3 linked regions of the Saccharomyces cerevisiae S288C genome follow. The protein of the gene in region 3 interacts with the protein of the main gene of each other region in a pairwise test. Each region holds a gene or a part of one and is shown on either strand. Other genes may lie near its edges.

Region 1 (4,262 bases), on a different chromosome or scaffold from region 3:
GCGACAACTAACAGGTAACGAAATCGGTTTTCTTTTTGCATTTTATGAATATCAGAAATATAAAAGTATGGACAAAGAATTTCAGCACGTTCATCCGTTGGCTATGTTAAATTCAACAGTGTCTTCACAAATGATAAAAAAAATGGCAGAAATAGAAGGGTTCCATTATGAGGATACATTAACAGGATTTAAGTGGATCGGAAATCGTGCCATACTCTTGGAAAAGAAAGGCTATTACGTTCCTTTTGGATTCGAGGAAGCAATAGGCTACATGTTTCCAGCAATGGAGCATGATAAGGATGGTATCAGTGCATCCATTGTCTTCTTGCAAGCCTACTGTAAGTGGAAAATAGACCACAATTTGGACCCGCTAAATGTCTTAGAAAATGGCTTCAAAAAATATGGCGTGTTCAAAGAGTACAATGGCTATTATGTCGTTCCAAATCCAACTGTTACAAAAGATATATTTGACTACATCAGGAATGTCTACACTCCTGAGGGCGCGTCATATCCTTCATCTATTGGTGAAGAAATCGAAGTACTTTACTATCGAGATTTAACCACTGGTTACCAATCGGATACCATAAATCATAAACCTACTCTACCCGTCGATCCTACATCACAAATGATAACAGTATCTGCTAGACCAAGTAACGGTAGTGAGAATGAGCATATCCGCTTCACTATTCGCGGGTCCGGAACAGAACCAAAACTTAAAGTATATATTGAAGCTTGCGCAAATGAAGAACAAAGAGCCTCTTTCTTGGCGAAATTGACTTGGAATGTGCTGAGACGTGAATGGTTTAGACCAGATGAAATGAATATAGTTACAAAATTTTGATACTATTTTAACCTATACATTAAGACCAAGCGACTTAAAGAATGCCATTATATTTGTTGTTTGTACCTACACTTATATCAATATACATTTAACTAGTTTATGCCTCCAAACTTCTATCTTCAGATTTTCTGTGTCGATTCCAAAGGTTTTCAAGCATGTAAGTCACACTAATCACAACACCAAGAGAAGCGAGCCCAACTCCCAGATATACAGCTGCTCGGTAACCTTTCAACAAATCATTGCCGCTTTTATTAATTTGGTGTTCAACAGTGCCTCCCATACCTAAACATAGAGACGCTGAATAATTAATAACGGTGTTTACTAATGATCCAGCCATACCTTGATACTGCATTGGAAGCCCGTCACTCAATATAATGGATGATGCCGGGAAGGACAGGTCCATACCAAAACATAAGATAGCCTGCATCGCAAAGTTCAACTTCCAATAGCTTTGTTCCACTGGCAATACACTAAACATTATGGAACCAGCGTCAAATGCCATTAGTGAAAAACATAGTAGTAGAGCTGGTCCTAATCTCTTGATAGAAAAGGCAACGAAGAATGCAGCCATGGATCCGAAAATTACGAAAACGAAATACGTACCTCCGGTCCAAACAGGACTGTAATGCCTCAAATTTAGTTGGAAGGAAACATAATAGAATGTCCAAATACCAAACGACCCCCATCCCAGGAATACCGCCAATAATATCATAATCATATGACGGTTCTTCGTCATTGCACGTGGTAGAAGAGGAACCTCTGCGTATTTACTTTCGTAAACAAAAAAAGCAACCAAGAATATCACAGATATTATCAAAAGAACAATGATATAAGGTTTGTCCCAGCCAACTATTGGTGCTTGATTCCAGACAAAGTTGAAAAGAATCAGCCCGATAATGGCAAGCGCGGACCCAGTCCAATCCATCGAAAGCCCATGAATATTTGTGGGAACGTTGTTTGGGATGGAGTACCATGCCATTAATAAACTTAGAAACGTTGCAATACCAAAGGCATAAAATACCCAAGGCCACTGATTGGGGTCTTCAGTGACAATTAACCCCCCGAATAATCCACCAAACATGCCGCCTGTTGGAGCACATGCGCCGATGAAACTAATAACAATGTTCTTCCTGAATGAACCGACCTTATAAACATGACCAACAAGCCCCATAATATTTGGTAAAATAAACGCAATTCCAACTCCTTGGAACGCACGGCTCGTAATGAAAAACGCGTCGCTATTAGAGTATTTGGAGAGACCAGAAATTATAGACCAAACGATTACGATGACATAACCAACGATCAACATTTTCTTCAATCCATAAATATCTCCTAACCTCCCACTAATAAGGATGAACGACCCAGCAGCCAAGGGAAAAGATGCCATCAACCATGCCTGATTGTTTGCTTCTGAATTAAAGGATTTCGAAAGAACGTTCATTATACAGAGAGCGTGTGTTTGGCCCGCTTGATTCAATAACTGTGCCAACATGCATGTCGCTATGAACATTAATTCTTTCCCAAAGGAACTGAAGTAAGTGGGGTCCTGCCATGGTGAGTCATTGGTCACTTGAGTTGATTTGGTTGAAGAAACAATTGTTGTCACCTCTTCATCTTCTGTGGAAACCACTACTTTATCTTTTGCTTTCACTGTAATTTTCTCATCTATCTCAGAGTCCGTGCCCTGCACGCTCGTTTTCTTTTTGAAGATTGAAAACATTTCCAATCAGATCTTTGAGTTGTATGTTTGGTGTGCTTAGATTGGTTTCCAGAACTAGCCATGGTTAAAAGATCTATTTCCATTGCCTTATATACCTATTTTTGTCCAAGCCAAATGTCTCTGAGTATTTCCTCGAAAAACTGATATGAAAGAAAATTTAGTTCGTAACCATGGCAATACTATAGCATAATCTTCGTCATGCCATTGTTATCTCATAAATAAAACTCCTATAACAAAGCAAAAAAAGTTTACGCGTTCTACGGACATTTGTGTAGGAAAAATAAAGATTTTACTTAATCAATATACGAGCCACGTTTTTGGCGTCGCATTGTCGGCGCTATTTATGCGCACCCCTGTTGCCTTCTCTTCCCTTCCGTGCAGCCTCCGCGCTGTCAGATGGTCCTCCGGTAACGTAACCATGGGAACTAGCAAAAAAATTTCCTAATCTGAAATGTAGTTCCATTAATAAATCTGAGGAACATGGGCGCTGCATCAAGATGTGTTTTGGCGTCGTCTTTGTTATCTTTTCTTTTTTCCAACAATAAATTTGGCTGTTCATAAGGTGAACGAAAGCTACGGCAATTGCCCTATTAAGAAATTATACGTAAGAATGTTATTTGTTTCATGAATATTTAGAGGATTCCGTTTTGAATATATTACACTATGAAATAAAGAATTATTTGGCGTTTTGCCATTGGAATAAATCAGATACATTATCTGTGTTGGAACTTCCGCCACCAGAACTTTTTGATCGATCTGTATTGTAACGATTTTTCTGAGGCCGTCTTGGACCACGGTGGGACGCCGAGGGCCCTGAAGAGGTCCTTCTCATTTGAAACAGTGTAGAAGGTGTATCCAACTGGTTGCCAGTTGCACTCTTTGAGTTCTCTTGAGAACTACTGTCACCTTTTGAATCATTGCCCGATGAAAGAGATCTTTGATTGCTGGTATTTCTCGTACTTACGGAGGATACCATCCCTTGACTTAAAATTGAGTCGGTAGGATTCAATACTTCTCTGGCATTCATGCGTGACCGATCCAAGTCATCGTTAAATGTCGTATCTAGGATGATGCTGTTTTTACTTCGATTTGACGTAGTAGACGTCGTGTTGGTATTTGAGATATCGGGCGTATCCACTAATAAAGGAGCCAACCCAAGTGATGCATCTACAATGTAATCATAGTCGACCCCAGAATAATTGACATTTGTCATGAAATTGTTAAAATTACCTAAATCGTTGAAATCACAGTTGTCCATTCCATGCTTTGTACTTCCAAGGATACTGCCTTGGCTGGTATTACTGCCAGTTGAAGGTGGTTTGAAGTTGGCACCTGCATTTGTAACGGCTTTTTTATTTGTTCCCGGATCCGCTGACGCGGAGTTCTGATCATTTTGGTATAAAAAGTTGTTAATACTAATATTCGAGAAAGAATTATCGTTGTTCAGCAATCTCATTAGCTTTGTTAGGCTGTAGTTACTCTTGTTGTTGAAAGAGAGATTATTCTTTTCCATATTCGTACTTTTTCCTTTCTGATGAAATTGGTTGTTTTTTGAATTCTCAGGGTTTTGCTTAATAACGGGTTCTAATTGTTCCGGTTTAGAGTCCATATTATCCTTCATTAGATCTAAATTACTTGGTAGACTGAATATCGCATCCATGTGCATAGGCTTATTCTCAATCGTGTTTTGACCTATATTGG
Region 2 (4,267 bases), on a different chromosome or scaffold from region 3:
TTATTCATTCCAGTTCTAGCTACGAAGTATACGATCTGCTTACGTCATATATTTGTGTGTAATTAGAAGGCATTCAGGAAGTCGCTTTTAACTTTTCAGGGCTATATGTCCTAATCCACTACTTTTTTTGAGAACTTTAAGAAATAACTCCTTTGAACCTGTCTGTGCCAAACAAAATTTTGCTGGTACATTTTATGGTATATAAACAAGCTACGTTATTATTACTTTTTTTTGATAGTTTTACTTATACTAGAAAATAATATTATATCATCACAAAAGAAACTCTCTCGTTAAGAATCCCGAATATTCAGCAGGAGCAAAAAAAAAATACCATAATTTAAATGCTTATTCAGTACTTAGCTGCTGATTTTATCGCAAGTATACTATTGGAGAGTACCGTGGTTCATATCGTGCTATTTTTATCTATATTTAAATTTATAGAAGTTTATCGTAGTATACTATGTAATTCTCTGCCGTATTGGCGGCAAAGACAAAAGCACTGACAGTAAACAGTTTTTCTGATGAGAATTTATGTCGAGGAACAAACGAAAATTTTGCTGGCCAAATTTGCTTACGCCTTTAATGTGATTGCGGTTGAGGTCTGTTATTACGCAGCTGCTATCATGTGTCTATTTGAGATTCTCTTTACAGGTTATCGCTGCATTTTTGTCAAGAAAAGAAAAGAAGACAACCTTTTTCTTGCACTGCGATGAGTATATTCAGGCTCGCGAATTTTCCAGATTTCTTACTAAAGACACATCTTTGAACGCACCAGCATGAATTTTATGAACTACTGATCCATATATTAATAGGTTTTAAGTACATATAGAATACTTAAGAAATTACATTCCATTGCGATACACCTATTTGATTCTGATTGTGTTGAAGTCTGTATAAAAGGCGAAAAAAAATAAAATGAAAATAAGAAAATAACTGCGCTACTTGTCTTCTAAATTATCTTCTGGTGTATCGTCCTTTTTTGGTATGATTAATTTCTTATTGGATGAAAAACTACAAAACAAAAATCCTAAGGCATAAAACCCTAGATCCATCCAAAATACGTTCTTAATGGAGTCGCTTAAAATGTTTCCAATAGTCGAATGAGAACCGTCGTAGTTTTGAAGACGATACAAAATCATGTCATCAACCGTTTTTCCTTCGTAAGGCTCTAGATGAGCTCGTGATACTTTATTGTGAAAGGAGGCGGAAAAAACAGTGGTTGAAAGCACACCACCAAGAGTTGTACCTAATGACTTCATGAATGTATTGAAAGCTGTTACTTCAATAAAGTCCATAGCAGCTTCTGGACGATCTTTGGTAATTTGAAGCTGTGCACTCATGAGCGATGCTTGTAGAGCAAATCCAAGGGAAAACCCCGGTAATAGCAAAACACCAATTTGAGTTGACTTCGTGGACGTATTTGTCATAAGTGTCATAAGCCCTGCTCCAATTACCCCAAGAACGCCTCCAAATATTAAGAGTGGTTTAACTAAACCGAGCTTTTTGGTAATCACACCACTTGCAATGGCCGCAATAACGTTGGTAATAACGATTGGTATCAAGTGAAGACCGGCTTTCCATGCACTCGACGCAAATATAAGTTGGAAAAACTGGACAGAGTATATCATTTGCCCATTGTAACCGGTACATAATAGAAATGTTACCATGTTTACTATTATTATGGCTGGTTTTGCTACCAATCTTCTTAGAAGGAGAGGCCTGTAGGATATATTATCAGGTTCCGGGTTGAATTTATCGAATAGGAAGAAATCGTACACCAATGAAAAAATAAAAAGTAAGACACCCAAAACCAAATATGTGATGACTTGGCCAGAGTTCCAACTATATTTATTACCACCAAAGGTTAGCCCCAGTAGGAAAAGGACCAGCCCTGCAGAGCAGAGGGCAAAACCAAAGAAGTCAAACTTGAAGATTATGCCATTCATAAGTCTTTTAAAATTAACTTGGTGTCTGAACTTACTAAAAGTAAAGCTCGAGATTGTTCCTATAGCATCTTTAATTTGTTGAAGTATACCCTTATTCTCGGCCTTATAGGTGAGTAAAAACATAATAATGGCAAGACCACCGATAGGAAGATTGATATAGAAGCACCACCTCCAGGTAACATGGGTTGTAAAGGCACCTCCGATTATAGGACCAACGATAGCAGCTACAGCAAATGCACAACTTAGGATGGAAATCACCAATGGACGTGACCTTTCACCAACCATCGTACAACCAATAACAAAGCAAAGCGTTTGGAGTCCGCTTCCCCCAACACCAGCAACAACTCTACCGAAAATGAGCATATTCATTGAAGAGGCAAGGGCAGCAATTAGGGATCCGGCTTCAAAAATAAGTATTGCTAAAATGAGACTATGCTGGAAACCTATGATAGATGCGAATCTTCCCCAAATGAGACTCAGAATAGCATTTGGTAAACTGTAGCCTGTAACGAGCCAACCTGTTTTGGAGTAGTTTCCGAACTGTTCTGCGACCACGTCAATAATAGTTCCCACTATCAAAATATCCAGTGCAGTTATGAATAGTACAAGAGTTAACGAAGCCAGGCAGAGGTACAAGGAAAGTCCCATTGGAGAATCATTGCTACCTCTAGCATTCAATGAAGCGTCTGAACCACATGCTCCTTCTATCTCCTGCTGCGAAGAGTACTTAGTTTCCTCCATATTTTTGAATTTCTATCGATTAAGCTCTATACCAGGTATGATCTGGTCTGATCAGTTCTAGGTATGAGTATAACTAGAATACATCTATATATATGTATATATATATTTAAACCAAAAAAAAAAAAAATTCGCTTCTCATAAAGGTGTGATGACACTATTATCTTTTGCATATTTTGTCGACTCGTATCATGTACGCGCTGCATATGAGGTGCGGCGCTATCTGTTAAATATGTACTAATTTGCACCTGCTGCAAAGGAAATGTGGCACTACTTTTACTCGCATGTTAACTTTCACCTACTATATATAGAAAAAAGGGTGTTGCTTTCAATCGCCGACTAATTTGCTCAAATACTCTTTACACAAAGGAAATTGTGTATCAGTAACCCTTACGGTTTGTTTATGAAGGAACTTTGCTCGTCCTACACCACCGGATCTAGGTACTCAATTTTTTGATGATTTTGCACTTGTGCTCATATCCTGTCGACAGGCACCGCATTTTTTTCCTTGTTTCAACAGACATAAACACAAGCTTCACTCATTAGTTTGAAAAGAGATAGTTTCGACGGTACAGTATTCTTGTCGTACAAAAGTCTTCGGTATAACTGGTTCGTTGTGGATTTTCGGAAAGTAAGTTGATTGTACGACGACAGGTCAAAGTTAAAGTTAAAGTCACCAGGTGTATAGACACCACATTGAAGGGGCGTCACAGCAATTTTTTTTATTTTTTTTTGATACTCAATAATTACGAGCATATAATTTTAGTACTTCCAAAAAAAAGTTAAAAAAAAAATAGTGACAAAATGTGTCAGTAAAATATATATGAGAACATGGAATGTATTAAAGTAATTCCATTTCTAGCAGATGTAGCGACCGTAGAATCTTAAATACTATTTACATAAATAAGAAAAGTAAAATAGTTTTATGGACTGGAACGAGAAAAAAAAAAAAAAGAATAATCAAGTAAATAAATTATCGGATGAGTTCTAGTGTTGTTGGTGCCTCAAGTAATAAAAAAAGTGGAATTAGGCAGTCCTGTGAGATTATTGAGCGAGAACGTCACTCAAACGATGACACGTACTCTATGACATCGACCTTTTTTAAGCTCAAAGAAAACGAAATTATGTCTGCACAGTTTGATTCCTTGAAATATAAAATTCTACTGATAAGTACCGCGTTTGTATGTGGGTTTGGAATTAGTTTAGACTACACACTTAGATCGACCTATACGGGCTATGCAACGAACTCATATTCAGAACACTCCTTACTTTCAACTGTCCAAGTTATCAATGCTGTTGTGAGTGTCGGATCCCAAGTTGTCTACTCTAGACTCTCTGACCACTTCGGAAGACTAAGGCTTTTTTTAGTTGCAACTATTTTTTATATAATGGGAACCATCATTCAATCACAGGCGACCCGTCTCACCATGTATGCAGCAGGATCGGTTTTCTATAACTGTGGATACGTCGGAACAAATCTGCTCCTGACATTAATACTCTCAGATTTCTCCTCCTTGAAATGGAGAATGTTTTACCAGTACGCCTCATATTGGCCATATATCATAATACCATGGATTTCAGGC
Region 3 (3,849 bases):
CTCTTCATGAATAGATATTGGTTCATATTATATGCGACAGTACCCCATTCCTTCCCCGCAGGCTTGCGTGCGATCACCTCCACTAAAAGCTTTATCATGAACTCCTGTTCAGTGATCGCTTTCCCGAATGTGAATGCTGCAACCACCATTAAAGCCATGGAGGCTACTATAAGGGACATCACTAAGATCACAGTGCACCCGTCGTTATCATGAAAAAGCACAATCAATGAGATCAAACTCACGATTATGATGATCATAAACATGATCGGTTTACAATGAGCAATTTCATAAAGTACATAACTCAGATGTGAACTGAATGTGTCTTCGGGAAGAGCTACATTCTCTTCGATTAAATGTGCACTGGGTTCGTCGAGAGTATCCATCTTTACGTCGGTATTTTCTGAAGGTGTTTGCATGGTCAATTGATATCTTGCCTTAATATGGCACTTATAGATGTTATCCTGATCAAAATAGCCAGCTGTTTTATGCTTTTTTAACGTTGTTCACCATTGTATTTATTATTTTTGAGGCATTTTTCACGTATTGTTGCAACGTCCCGAAGGGATTCGATGTGATCGAAAAGCGTCCCGGCTGATCTATTGTGATGACCAGCTATCTCACGTTGGCGAGCATCAAGCCGAGGATCATAAAGCAAAATATATAATAGCATTTGCATCTAAAGTAAACTACATAAAATTTGTTTCGAGCGTACATAACTTTTACACCCAGATGGACTGACACTTAATTGCGGGCTTCGTAATGTTCTTGAAGTTAATGATGCTCGTACATTTTATATTAGAATATACTAGATAAATACCAAAAATTCGGCCCTAAGGCAAATCAACCTCTGGGTATTGCTTTCTCCAATACTCAAATTCAGCTTCTTTGTGAATTTCCGCAGCTTTAATAAGGTAAGCTTCTAAAACTGGATCAGAACTAAAGATATAAGGTTTTACCATCTCATTTGAAACCTCTTTTGCTGGTGTGTTTGACTGCGTATTCTCTGCACCGTTCGTTGGTGAACTCAAATGTGCATTCGACCTTGTCTGTTTGATAAGGCTTTTGAAAAATTTATGGCACCTATGTTCACAAAAAAAGTAATACGGAGTATGCCATATCCCATGGTCAAACAGATACTGGTTCATATTATATGCGATTATTCTCCATTCCTTCCCCCCTACTGCTGGTTTACGTGTAATGACTTCTACTAAAAGCTTAATTATGAAACCCTTATTCAAGGTCTCAGACACGAAGGCAGTTATACCGATCAATAAAATGATAATAGAGAGGATAAGAGAAATCACTAAAAACACAAGGATACCTTTGATATCATGAAAAAACGTAATCAATAAAACCAAACACACAGGTATTAGGAACATAATCATTAGCGGTTTACAACGAGCGATTTCATTAAGTATATAACTCCAGTACGAATTGAATGTATCCTCTGGAAGAGCCACATTTTCCTCGATTAAATGTGCACTGGGTTCGTCGAGAGTATCCAACTTGACGTCGGTATTTTCTGAAGGGGTTTGCATGTTGAATTGATATCTTGTCTTGTGTAAGGTTATTATATGGTTTTGGAGGTTGTTATGCTGATTCGAATTACGACTTGATCATGATACTAATTGAGCTTTGACGAAATATTTTAGCAATTCAGAACCCCTTTCATATTCTTTTTTTTTTTCATTTTTAGAGGCGTTTTTTCACTGATAGGTACAGCCTCCGAAATAATATATAGTGAAGATATAATAATAATAGTGCGAGCCTTTTACAGGGCCATTATGATCATGAGTGAGATCCAGAAAAGCACATTGCATGGCAGTCGGATGTTGAGAATTGGGGGAATTTTGAGATAATTGTTGGGATTCCATTGTTGATAAAGGCTATAATATTAGGTATACAGAATATACTTGAAGGTTCTCCTCGAGGGTCTAGGAATCCCCATAATGGAGTCTATATTTCTATATACCAATCTTACGATTATTCCTCATTCCGTTTTATATGTTTCATTATCCTATTGCATTATCAATCCTTACACTTCAGCTTCCTCTAACTTCGATGACAGCTTTTCATACCTTATGCCATCATCTCTACACCGTATATGATAATATATTGATAATATAACTATTAGTTGATAGACGATAGTGGATTTTTATTCCAACAGAATTGCATTCCAACACATTGCCCCTAGCAATAATAGAAGTCCTACAATTATCAGATTTTTTAGCCAATTCTCAGCAACAAATCTAAATAGCAATTGCTCTTTTTAATTAATGGTTTACAGTTGTGATGCAACGCAATCCTTTTTCTTATAATTGGTTTACATATTTTATCACTGAAAATAATGTTGTATTACGGGCTCGAGTAATACCGGAGTGTCTTGACAATCCTAATATAAACAGTCTTAGGGAAGTAACCAGTTGTCAAAACAGTTTATCAGATTAATTCACGGAATGTTACTTATCTTATATATTATATAAAATATGAATCATACTAAGTGGTGGAAGCGCGGAATCTCGGATCTAAACTAATTGTTCAGGCATTTATACTTTGGGTAGTTCAGCTAGGGAAGGTCGGGTTTTGTCTCATGTTGTTCGTTTTGTTATAAGGTTGTTTCATATGTGTTTTATGAACGTTCAGGGTGACGTATTGTCATACTGACATATCTCATTTTGAGATACAACAAATAACATACAATTTTGGCAACTTGGCCGAGTGGTTAAGGCGAAAGATTAGAAATCTTTTGGGCTTTGCCCGCGCAGGTTCGAGTCCTGCAGTTGTCGTTATTTTTTTTTACTGATGATATTTCACCTCTTCAAAGCATACTCATCTTCAACTCGGATTCAACACGAGAAAGAATTATTTAAATCGGTACAAAGCAATACACTATTCAAAATCCTATCGTTTCCCAATTGTGTTGTGCGCGCGTTATTCTGCGATTCCGTGTAAGTGCATAGAGTAGGTTGTTGCAATAAAAAATGTCTCTAAATAGCAGGCCGACAGACATAACCAAATGATTTCCGTGAACAACCTCAAATTTTCAGGCTTTGAACGTGATTTTCCCAAACCCTGTAACTTGATGTGTAAATTTAAAATGGAATTGGCATGCCAGCTATCATCCCTTAGTGCTTTCAGTCCGAGAGTCTCCATATGTCTGACTTCACGACCTAATTGAACCGGCGCCCATTTCTGGGACATCAGCACTTGCGGTGCTGTTCCAAATAATATCTAAGGTAAGTTTAATGGCCCAGCCCGATCGTGAACGTTAAAGAAAGCATACGTCAAAATATTGGTACCTTATAAGAGTAAAAAAATGCTGTTTCATCTCGTTTGGTAGAGTATATATAAAAAGAGCGGTTTCTGAATTGTTGAAATTTGAACTGTTCAAGATTTACTTAGTAGTATGAACCTGCAGGGATCATCCAGAAACAAAATGCTGTAGCTTCTTCTCTGAATTGTATTTCTTTACAAAGAGCTTTGCTATTTTGCCTTGAAACAGCATATCTCATGGCGAGCGCTTCCATAGCGCTTGAAGCAGACCAAAGCAACATGCTGGAAGACCAGATTCCTAGACTATTCATGTACATCTCTACATAGTATGATCGACTTCGGGATTTTTTATTCCTTACTACGTGGTTTTTACGATGGCATGATCAAATTCTGTGAAGCTGTTTTGTCTGTCAGTGGGATCGTGCATTGTACTCAGTTAGAAGTGCGTTTGGAGCTTTGTAACATGGCACAAGTGAAGTGAAAGACGCCCTTTATAGAAAGGAGAGTTAGCTAATGTAGAAGTACAGCTGGTGATAAGAAAACGCTGATGCAGAATCAGGAAAGTGTTCTCGTTGT

The links. Proteins that work in one complex are often made in the same cells at the same time.
Region 1: the proteins of UIP3 (region 3) and ATR2 interact in a protein complementation assay, tested with the Saccharomyces cerevisiae proteins (one large-scale study listed by BioGRID).
Region 2: the proteins of UIP3 (region 3) and VBA5 interact in a protein complementation assay, tested with the Saccharomyces cerevisiae proteins (one large-scale study listed by BioGRID).

What each region holds. Positions count from the first base shown.
Region 1 is NC_001145.3:823,791-828,052, forward strand, and holds ATR2 (Atr2p), read right to left. Parts: upstream 2,562-4,262; coding exon 939-2,561; downstream 1-938. Other genes in the region: phosphoribomutase PRM15, read left to right, coding at 1-841; DNA-binding transcription factor CAT8, read right to left, coding at 3,238-4,262.
Region 2 is NC_001143.9:657,778-662,044, forward strand, and holds VBA5 (basic amino acid transporter), read right to left. Parts: upstream 2,688-4,267; coding exon 939-2,687; downstream 1-938. Other genes in the region: GEX2 (glutathione exchanger), read left to right, coding at 3,665-4,267. UniProt on the Saccharomyces cerevisiae protein: Transporter required for vacuolar uptake of basic amino acids.
Region 3 is NC_001133.9:181,459-185,307, reverse strand, and holds UIP3 (DUP240 family protein UIP3), read right to left. Parts: upstream 1,539-3,849; coding exon 831-1,538; downstream 1-830. Other genes in the region: KTD1 (DUP240 family protein), read right to left, coding at 1-416.